Saccharomyces cerevisiae S288C: one gene and its partners. The gene in region 2 interacts genetically with the main gene of each other region. Each region holds a gene or a part of one and is shown on either strand. Other genes may lie near its edges.

Evidence for each region.
Region 1: of GIS4 (region 2) and GIS1, extra expression of one rescues a mutant of the other (dosage rescue), as found in Saccharomyces cerevisiae (one study listed by BioGRID).
Region 3: of GIS4 (region 2) and SGE1, extra expression of one rescues a mutant of the other (dosage rescue), as found in Saccharomyces cerevisiae (one study listed by BioGRID).

Annotation. Positions count from the first base shown.
Region 1 is NC_001136.10:635,185-638,945, reverse strand, and holds the start of GIS1 (histone demethylase GIS1), read right to left. Parts: upstream 1,808-3,761; coding exon 1-1,807. Other genes in the region: aminophospholipid-translocating P4-type ATPase DNF2, read right to left, coding at 2,826-3,761. UniProt on the Saccharomyces cerevisiae protein: Transcription factor involved in the regulation of gene expression upon nutrient starvation. Recognizes and binds to the post-diauxic-shift element 5'-T[AT]AGGGAT-3' in the promoter region.
Region 2 is NC_001145.3:256,393-260,153, forward strand, and holds the start of GIS4 (Gis4p), read right to left. Parts: upstream 2,025-3,761; coding exon 1-2,024.
Region 3 is NC_001148.4:931,974-935,734, forward strand, and holds SGE1 (Sge1p), read left to right. Parts: upstream 1-2,060; coding exon 2,061-3,692; downstream 3,693-3,761. Other genes in the region: YPR196W (putative maltose-responsive transcription factor), read left to right, coding at 1-815. UniProt on the Saccharomyces cerevisiae protein: Drug export permease. Multi-copy suppressor of loss-of-function mutation of GAL11. Involved specifically in transcription of GAL4-dependent genes. Can link GAL4 with the basal transcription machinery if GAL11 is missing.

The DNA of each region.
Region 1 (3,761 bases), on a different chromosome or scaffold from region 2:
TGCCATTATATGAGGTGTGGCCGTTCGGATTCATTGGTGACGACAGCGGCGGTAACGTCAATCTTGGTGACGCAGTAGCGCTGTTAGCCAGTGTCGCTAAACTTAAAGCTAACATATTGTCATCGTTATCGCCGCCTAGACCTGAAGTCCCATTTAAAGTGGACGAATGCATCATTGAAGAAGGCACAGTGGAAACGTTATTATTACTACTACTATTATTAGCGCTATTATTGGTACTGCTAATGTTATTATTGATAGATGCGGCTGCAGAGGTGTTAATGCCATTGGCGTTAACATTATTGTGGTTTTGGCTGCCATTTGTAGTTGTCGATGGGTTGGTTGATGTAGCCGTTATATTAGATAGTAAGGAGTTTGTATTAGTTAGAGAAGGGGTGCCAAAATTACTAGAATTAGACGGAATATTCATCTGCGGTAATTGCGGAGTTAAAACTTTCCTTTTGAACTTGGAACCCGGATCATCCAAAGTGGGTTCCACAATATTTGATAAGTCCATCATCCTTGATAACAACGGGGAAGAAATTCTGCTTATGGTAGTTTGATTCATGTTCAGGAACTGGTTTACACCATTAGGGGTAGTAGACCGAAGAGAACTACTTTGCGGTCTGTTCATATTAATATTGGAGAACAAGGGGTTCTTATTGTCTTCTAAATTTTGTAACTCTTGAGAGGAATGGTTTAGTAATTCATCAAAACTTCGAACTTTTTGAAATAAATCGTTATCATTATCAGTAATGGAGCCTCGTTGCTCCGACTCATTAGAATCATAAGATAAATTTGAAAACGGACCAGATTTTCGCTCTTCCTTCTTGTTTCCACAGCCGCATTTTAAAGGTTGCTTTCTAACGACAGCTTGCTGATCTAATATGAACTCAATAGATTCGCCAAAATTGTAACCATAATTGAATCCGGAGTACATGCAATAAGGGAAAGTAATGATGAATTCATGTTGGAACTGCACCACTCTATTAAATTTTATATTATTTTTTCGCAAGAAATCGGGAGAAGTTATGATGTTTTGATGTCTAATAAAAGCTGGACAATTTTCCTTATTACTTGATGGTTCCTTTGATAAAATTTTCAAAAATTGGTCTGTGTTTGCGGACGGTATGGAATACCATTGTTTGGGAGCACCGAAATGCAAGTAGTTTATAGAGCATTTATTCTGTTCGTCCAAATGCCATGGAAAAATGCATTTAGACTGACCAGTAAGTAACCGTCTGTTACTTGAGTTTATAGAATCTGGCAAATTATTCAAATTCCATAAAGTTAAATCATAGGGGAAAATTGAAGAGTTTTCGTCCACTGCATAAAAAGGTTTCGAAAAAGCGATGGTTTTCCAAAAATCACTTTCTAAAATTTGTAACTGTGCCAAATCATAACAATCCTGCTGACTATCTACGCGGCAATTTTCCTTTAAAGTTTTATCATTAAAATCACCTTGACTTATTCGAGAGTCTAGACTTTCGGCCAAGTTCTTCCACTGTGTTAAATTGTACGACTTATTGTCATACTCGTTTTCGATGCTAAATACACCGTTTTCATGTTTGTCCCATCGCTTGGCTTGTTGTTGAATCGGGGAGTCTAGTTGTATAGTCTTTAAACTTTCCGCAGGAGGTGAGCCTTCTAAAAGCTCCAGCCATTCTTTGGGAGGAATGACTTTGACAATACCATTTTCTATTCCGAATTTAGTAATTTCATCAATGAAATATTGGAAATTTGCAAACTCCATCATAGACGGCTTAAAAACCGGAACGCCATCAATAACCTCAACTGGCTTGATTTCCATTGTAGTCTGTTTTTGTAGCTATTCTTCAAATTAAAAAAAAAAAATTACAACGATGTTGTTCACTTTGTAGAAGCAAATACTTTTTAAACGCCCAACAAAGAAACAAATAGTGAAAAAAATTGAAAATTGGAAAAAATTGGGAAATGGAGGTTAATGATGAACAGAAAGGAAAAACGATGAAATATGTGGTGGGCAAAGAGTTTCTGTAAGCAAGAGACTTAGCGAAACAAAAAAAAAATACAACTGGCCAAACGTATTATTACTTGGCTATTTTCTTCCTAACAGACCAACTTCTTTTGCCTTCTGTATGGCGGGAGGAGGAGGGGGGAGGTTTTCTTCTTGTTTTTTCCGTTAACTTTTTCCCGATATGCGTAGAAGGATAATAATTTCAAATACACAACTCACACACGCGTTTGTACTTCTACCTCAACACAAACGATAAACGTTAAAAACTTCTCTTCAGTAAGTAGTGGTAATAATCCTAAACAGAGAGAAAATACTGTTTTCTTTTTCGGTTTGCTATTTTTACCTTTCCTTTCCTTTCTCTTTGGTGAAAAACCGGATCGGATGTAAACGTAAATGCCAATTCAAGGGACCTGTAAGACAAGAGAATGCGAAGCGGTAATAGTGGCAGTTGTAACCATTTTCTAGTCTTTCTCCGTAAAGTAGTTACTTGCCACAATGCCGCCATAGTGCGGAAAACAACGAAATATAATTCCTTGAAGCACAAAACGCCACCCCTTCCCCTTGCCCTTGCCCTTGCGGACGCCCTTTCCCCTCAAAATTTTTTTCATATTACGTCTCCGGCTTCGCTCTCTTACTCTTGGCGCCGGGCGGACCCCGGCAGGAAGGGGAGAACCCAGCCCCTTCCTACTCAAGGCTCTGCGCGGCGTTTTCTCCACACCCCACAGGGCGGGGTAGAGCCGTGCCGGGTGATACACATCATCACATCCTATATGAAATCTATATCATATCACATTGGTATACATAGTACAAAGGAAGAAAAAAATTGTAATCATTAACGGTCCCTGCTGCGCTGGCTGAGCAGCGTCTCTGCATGATTGATACCCGGCAGATCCAGCGAGGCACGTGCTCTTTCCACGGAGTATCTTGTGTCCAGTTGGTGGTTGGCAAGCATCTCTTCTCTTGTGCGATCCAGCGAAGTTCTGAGCTTATTTCCGCGGGCACTGGCCATTGATCTTCTAGGCAAGTTGTTCGTTGTTGTAACGGGGCTGAGCTGGTCACGGCGTTCCAGAGTGGTAGAGACACGGTACCCCTTGCGCGAGCCTTGCTCACCATTGAGTATACTCATTGGTATTTCCTCTGTGACTATGGTCTCTTGTGAGTGGCTGACACCATCAAAATGAGTGTCCAGTGAAATGGGCTCTTTGAAATCTGTAAGGGGACGTATTTCGTTTATTCTGGGCCTGCTAGGGTCCGTAGGGTCGTAGCCTTGTGGGTAGAGGTCAAAATCACCGCGTAACCACATTTCTCTAACGATCTCTATATCTTTCGGATAGAATATCTTTCTGATACAGTCAATGGTGAATCTTGGCAGTAGGCAGAACAGCACGCCAACGAAAAGTACTGCCCAATAGGCAGGTTGTGCGAATACACGCGCCGCACCCTTGTAAAATTCGTTACTTGACGACGAGCTTGTCCATATACCCGTCCAGCCGTAAAACACGGCCAGTGATAGACATATGAATAGGCCACAGAACCAGTCCCATCTATACTGTTCCATGAAGACGTAAAAGTTACATGAAGTGACTGCAATTGCTGTAACGAAGACACCGACAAAGTAACGGTGGTCTAGTCCAAGGCCATTTTCAGTTACAACCATGTTTTTATGGTACGCCAAATAGGGGAAAAAGAAGCATATCACAGATTGGTATACACCATCCAACATGTACCAAAGAAATTTGGTTTGGTTCCATTCTTTTCTTAGGATACC
Region 2 (3,761 bases):
TTCGAGGAAGTCGTATTAGAGTTCGACAGTTGTGTCATTGGATGAGGTTCACTTGATAAAACTGTACTTTCACCTGTTTTAGAGTTATCCAACTCGTTACTATTACTTTTATCGATTTTTGTAACAGAATTATGTCTATTGAATGCCCATTCCCCGATACTGTTTACGGTTCTAATAGAACGATGTGCTGTAGTAACGTTAGATTCCATTCTAGTTGGTATGTACATTTGTGGGCCTGACTGTTCTGATAAAGAAGCATCGTCACCATCGTCTTCATCGTCTTCATCGTCAATATAGTCGTTGTAACCGTTATTATATGCAGTCGGGAAATATTGTTGCGGGTCGTTAGTTAATGATAACTCAGAATCTAGAGGTTGCTCTTTTGATATTCCTTCCCTATTATCATAATTGGGATTTTTGAATTCTTCTTCAACCTGTTTGCCGGAGTTTGTCACAATAACCATTGTGTAAAATAAAATTTTTGGAAATGATCTCTTGATATCTAGCAAATCTTGAAGTGTTAGAATTTGTAAATTATTCATTGAAAAATTGGAATCATACAGCAACCAATCATCGGTAACGCTTGCCATTGTAGGTTTATTGTTTGACTGTCTAATCGCAGTAAAAATTTCTTTGGTGTCTGGATCCTGAATTAATATAGATTGCAAAACTAGCCTAAAATACCCTAGAGAATCACAAATTGAGATTGACGGTAGAATGGATAGTACTGAGTAATCGGAAGAAGAAAGATCTTCATCATCATAAACCTCTTCTCCATCGTCCTCTCCTGATCCATACCCTTGGGCGTCATAGTTATGATGAATTAAATTATCCTCCTCCTCTGGGGTTGTCGAAGTAGTTAAATTGTCTATAGAACTCGTTATACTTGACAATTCAGAGACATAGGTGGCATTCGTGTGATCGATGTTTTCACGTTTTGGATTACCTCGGCTGCTACTGCTTAAACTGTAGTGGGCACTACTACTATTACTGCTACTACTATAGCTAGTGTAGCTGACCGAACTTTCCATGCTATAACTTGCTTGATCGATACTCTCGTCACCTAGATCATGTGAGACTCTGCTATAATGATCCTCAACTTCATCCTGACCACTTTCATCCTCGCGCCTGGCAGTAGTTAAACTCAGGTCTTGTCCGGGATATGTGGATGATACGTCTTCGCCAGCAAAACTATCTATTGACATTATCTCGGAATGTGACGGTGTATAGTCTTCATTAGTGTATGATGGAAAAATTTTGGGTAGTCTATTAGGCTTTGAATCTACTGTTCGCGAATGAGAAAAATTTAGGACTATAGAACTTGTGGCATCCTCTTCATCAACTTCGTTTTCATTATCTTGAGGCGTATCATTATTATTGCTTTGACTATTCACGGATGTAACGTTTATATCAACTGTGTCCGGAGATGTCAAAGTCCTCGTATTCGTATTAGTTCGGGTAGCTGTTGAAGTCTGGGTATTTATATTTGACCACTGATCATCCGAAACGTTTGATTCTAGCTTCCCGTTTGAAGCTTTTGATGAAGATATTGTGGGTGGTGGTATTGAATTTCTATTGTTATTGTTTAAAGCCTTGGAATTTTTTTGAACTTGCCAACTTGTACTCGCAAATTCTAAAAAGGTAGGGTCTTGGAAATTGTTGAGGTTGTCCGTCAATAGGTAATGATTTTCATGATTGTAGCAGTGGGAGTGAGTTAATTTTGAGATTTGAATGTGTTCTAATTTTTCCAGATGAAAGTAATCTTTGAGGAAGATTTCCAATATGGAGATATCTTCATGAACATTCTCTGGGATGGAAACTAACAAAATCTTCTTGTTTGGCCTGGCCGAAATATTGTTATCACCATAAAAATGACTATTCAGAAATCTTTTTAACAGAGTGTATTTTAATTGATTGCCTATAAGTTCTTCAAAATCGCCTAATCTGAGGTTTGTTAAGTACCACGACCACAAACCATTGTCATCATTGTCAAAATAGTCGCCCACTCTAACGGATTTTTGCATTATATTTAAGTAACAGAGTGCTTTTTGATGGTTTTTGTTAACCGTCTTTCGAGCAGTTGAAGGATGAGAGTGAGTGTTAATGAGGGGTTATTTCTGCAAAACTTCTGCCGATATATTCTGCACTTAGTTCCCGCTGTTGTTCAGCCTTCACGTTCCTTAGCTACACAAGTCAGTTAAATCTGGTCCTGCCAAAGTGAATAAGTTGAAGATATTTATCTAGCTTGCGATGGAAAAAACTACAATAGGAAAAAAACTAATTAAAAAAAGAAAAAAAAAGAGAAGAATTCAATGTTTAGGGATATAAATTCGATATAAAGGTTTAAAGTAAATAAATTTCGTGTATTACTATGCAAGTAATGTTTCTGCCTGCACCGGCTTCGTAGCTGGTGGAGTGCGATAGCGATGATACTACCTGAAAACACAGAGGAAGGCCGTCAGCCCCGCGCTAGGAACGATGAGGAGAAACCAGTTGGCGAATCGCCACATGCCATTTACGTAAAAGATGCTGTGTAACCTAACAGAAATAATCGATGGTGTGAACTAAAGTCCTAGGATGCACATAAGCAAGCGAAAAAGTGAAAACAACATTTCCAGAGCTAAAAAAATGCATTTGCCGATCCGAAATAATCTCAAAACGAAAAAATGATTATGGACGTAAACAAAATTACCGCATTTCGCTCTCCTATTATCATAACAAGCATGAGCGCAAAACTTAAAAATCCATCAAGAGGCAAAAAATAACGACAACTGCAGGACTCGAACCTGCGCGGGCAAAGCCCAAAAGATTTCTAATCTTTCGCCTTAACCACTCGGCCAAGTTGCCATACTAACTTGATTATTTGTGTATTCTGTTTTCTTGTGATTCCTTCTGGTTACATAATTACATTGTCTATATTCATATTTGATTCTAACAGCAGGTAATATTGGTCTATCGGCTACTCGTTCAAAAAATTAAAATCGTTATCAATTATATTCCATAGTATAGGTTGTTAAAAGATGGAATTAATTAAAGTAGAGTAGTAGAACAGGGATCACAGTGTTATTAGATTTTGGAGCAACTGATGTGTGTGAGTAATATATAAGGATGAATCGAATGAAAGTATTATGAGAAAAGGAATCATCGTTGTGTAAAGTTGTTCATTTCGTATTTCTGGGTACTGTGAATGAGATGAACTTGCTGATAATCGTTGGCATACTATTATTTGGAACGGTAATATTTTTGCGAATACAAAGTATACTGTAGTTTTTCCCCGAGGATTTACGAACCCACGAGAAGTGATCAATATTTCTACACAGTAGCATTATGATCTCTCTTTATTCGCTTATGTGTCGCCATTCACTACCCTATCATAATTCGGATCCTTGTGTTTCAGCTCCCATTAAGTTTGACGACCGTTCGTCATTTATTTATATTCTTACACCGTACACGATAATATACTTATGCGAACTCTAGTCGGTCGATGGTGATTAATTTTCATTTCAATATTTACTTATATCGGCGATAAGTCTTAAGCATGGAATTTATAGTCATTCTGTCACCCCTCCGAAACAGAAATGAATTTGTAAATGTATTCACTAAGTTTAGCCGTTTTAGACATTTGAATGTCGTTCGTCATCAGCGCGGCCAATATTGTTTACATGAAGAAAATGTTGTTAATATAGGCACTCTATTTGGTTTCATTATGAGAAGTATCTTGCTGCTTGATGTCTTCGCACTTTTTTTTTCCAGATTTTTCA
Region 3 (3,761 bases), on a different chromosome or scaffold from region 2:
TTGGCCTCATAAAAATAGCTGGATTTCATCGGGAAGAAACTTATGAGTTTCTTCCATTTGGTGAGCAACAACTTATAAGAAAGGTTTACTATCTGCTTCTCATGACAGAGAGGTACTATGCCGTATACATTAAATGTGTAACAAGTTTGGATACCACTATATCTCCACCACAACCCGAAATCGTAACTGATTCCCGACTTTCTTTGGATAGTTTTCTTGAGGTGATTAAAGTATTCACTGTTCCTGGGAAATACTTTTACGATGCCTTAGCTACCAACAGTGTTAATGGTTCCTATACTGAAGACTCTCTAAAAAGGATATGGAATGAACTTCACATAAGCTCACTTGATATAGAGCCATACTCTTACGGATACATAGACTATCTCTTTTCTCGGCACTGGGTCAGGACTCTAGCATGGAAGTTGGTACTAAATAAGAAGGATATGCGGATGAATTTTTTTTCGAATACTAACGCCACACACATTCCAGTCGAAATAGCCAAGGATATGTTACAGGATACACTTTTAACTCCAATCGACCTATATGATGTGCATGGTCCTGTGATACCAATGAAGGCGCTAGAAATAGCCAATGCATTGGTAGACGTCGTAAGTAAGTATGATCACAATATGAAGTTGGAGGCTTGGAATATTTTGTGCGATGTATCTAAGTTCGTTTTCTCCCTGAAACATTGCAATCATAAAATGTTTCAAAGGTTTTCAACTAAATGTCAGAGTGCTCTAATCGATTTGCCTATCTCTAGACCACTGCGCCTAAATGATGATTCCAAGGATGAAGTCGACATTATTCCCTAAATGAACTTTATCTTCTTACAGTTTCAACATCTTGTGACCTGATGATTTTCCTCAAATGAACTTTTGCGTTTTCATTGAGAAAATTTCATTATACTTTATTTTTTTTATAAATGGGTACCAAGGCATTAAATATAGATCTGGTTTACTAATCTGAAGAAATTGTTTTCAACCACATAATTTGTGCAATTTGGCGCTATACAAAGCCCATGTTGGCTACATTAGTCTTTGAATCCTTTAGATTGCCTGAATCAATAGCTCATTCAAAATATTTTGGACAATCGATAGTTAACTGTAACATGTGCTGCTATATAGTGGCAATCTAGATGCATGTATCTTATATGATTAAGTATAAAAGAACCACAGCAAAGCTAAACGTAAATAAGTAGTTTAGAAAGTACTGGATATGAGTTAAGAATCTGTTAATTGAGCATGACATGAAAATTTTGTATTAAAGCAATATGAGTCGTCACATTAAATATATGAAACTACGGGAATTACCATCATATTGGTCATGATTAATAATAAACCAATCAGCATGTTTTTACCTCTATTATATTAGTCTTGGACCCGTATTCAACCTTCATTAATATTATCTTTTTACCTTTGTTCATAAACACAATACATTGTTTTTGCAAAATATAACAAAAAAGATTAAGGAAGAGGACCATGTACACTACGATCTTACTTTTGAAATAGAATTTGTTTATTTTTTCAAGATGTTAAACGAAGATGGTGAGTAATATTCACAAAACATTGTAAAAATATTACTTGCTTCATTCTGCGAATTGTTCAAACCCGTAAAGAAAATTTCTAGTATATGATATATGCATAATATCAATAGCTTTACAAAAATAGAATCCGAAAACTATCTAGAAGTTTACTCGTTTCTCAAGTTTTATTTAACAAAACATAGACGAGCTTTATTTCGTGTGAAGAAGTGAAGAAGCTTTAACAAAACTGTATTTCTAAAAGAACGTTACTATACAATAAATTATAAAACTGCATTAACCAATGAAAAAAAGCACTATTAATCGAAACTCGAATATGCAATATTGTTAATGTAAATTAAGCTATCGGTCCGTTTATTTTTCTATCGAAAAGCGGCTTAGTTAGAATGGTTGATAAACGGCTGCGCTTCGTAAAAAGAAATGACATCTTGGAACTACTTTAAATAGAAGTTTAAATCTCATGATCATGCTCATCTGTTTGTACAACACATAAGCTTCACCGTCAGACATATATGCAATGAAGAGTACTTTGAGTTTAACTTTATGTGTTATATCGCTTCTATTAACCCTTTTTCTGGCGGCCTTGGATATTGTTATAGTGGTTACTTTATATGATACAATTGGCATTAAGTTCCATGACTTCGGCAATATTGGTTGGTTAGTTACTGGATATGCTCTTTCTAATGCTGTTTTCATGTTATTATGGGGTCGCTTGGCCGAAATACTTGGTACAAAGGAGTGCTTAATGATTTCTGTTATTGTATTTGAAATAGGGTCTTTGATTTCTGCTCTTTCGAATTCAATGGCGACTCTGATTAGCGGAAGAGTCGTTGCTGGGTTTGGAGGAAGTGGAATTGAATCACTTGCTTTTGTAGTTGGAACATCCATTGTCCGAGAAAACCATAGAGGAATTATGATAACGGCACTCGCTATATCGTATGTCATTGCAGAGGGAGTCGGGCCTTTTATTGGTGGTGCATTTAATGAACATTTGTCTTGGAGATGGTGCTTTTATATAAATCTTCCAATCGGTGCGTTTGCGTTCATAATATTGGCATTTTGTAACACATCTGGAGAACCACATCAAAAAATGTGGCTACCATCAAAAATCAAAAAAATTATGAACTATGACTATGGCGAATTATTGAAAGCAAGTTTTTGGAAGAATACATTTGAAGTACTTGTATTTAAACTAGACATGGTTGGGATTATTTTATCTTCAGCAGGCTTTACACTACTGATGTTAGGTCTTTCATTTGGTGGAAACAACTTCCCATGGAATTCGGGTATCATTATTTGCTTTTTTACCGTGGGCCCTATCTTATTGTTACTATTTTGTGCTTACGACTTTCATTTTCTGTCATTATCGGGGCTTCACTATGACAACAAGCGGATCAAACCGTTACTGACATGGAATATTGCCTCAAATTGTGGCATATTTACAAGCTCCATAACAGGATTCCTTTCTTGCTTTGCTTATGAATTACAGTCTGCTTATTTAGTCCAGCTTTATCAACTAGTATTTAAAAAAAAGCCTACATTAGCGAGTATACATCTTTGGGAACTATCAATTCCAGCTATGATTGCAACTATGGCCATAGCATATCTAAATTCAAAATATGGCATCATCAAACCGGCAATTGTTTTTGGTGTGCTTTGTGGGATTGTTGGATCTGGTTTATTTACGCTAATCAATGGCGAACTCTCTCAGTCAATAGGTTATTCAATTCTCCCAGGAATAGCTTTTGGTAGTATTTTCCAAGCAACGTTATTAAGCTCCCAGGTGCAGATAACATCAGACGATCCAGACTTTCAAAACAAGTTTATTGAAGTCACAGCTTTCAACTCGTTCGCCAAATCCTTGGGCTTTGCGTTTGGAGGGAATATGGGGGCAATGATATTCACTGCATCACTCAAAAACCAGATGCGCTCTTCCCAATTAAACATACCACAATTTACGTCTGTAGAAACACTTTTAGCGTATAGCACAGAACATTATGATGGCCCCCAATCTTCACTATCAAAGTTCATAAACACAGCTATCCATGACGTTTTTTACTGCGCCTTAGGATGCTATGCTCTTTCATTCTTCTTTGGAATATTCACTTCGAGTAAGAAAACAACAATATCAGCCAAAAAGCAACAATGAACAATTTTCCAACGTATAAATTAACTTATCGTAGTTCGATAAAACTAGACAGTACTTATATATTATCTA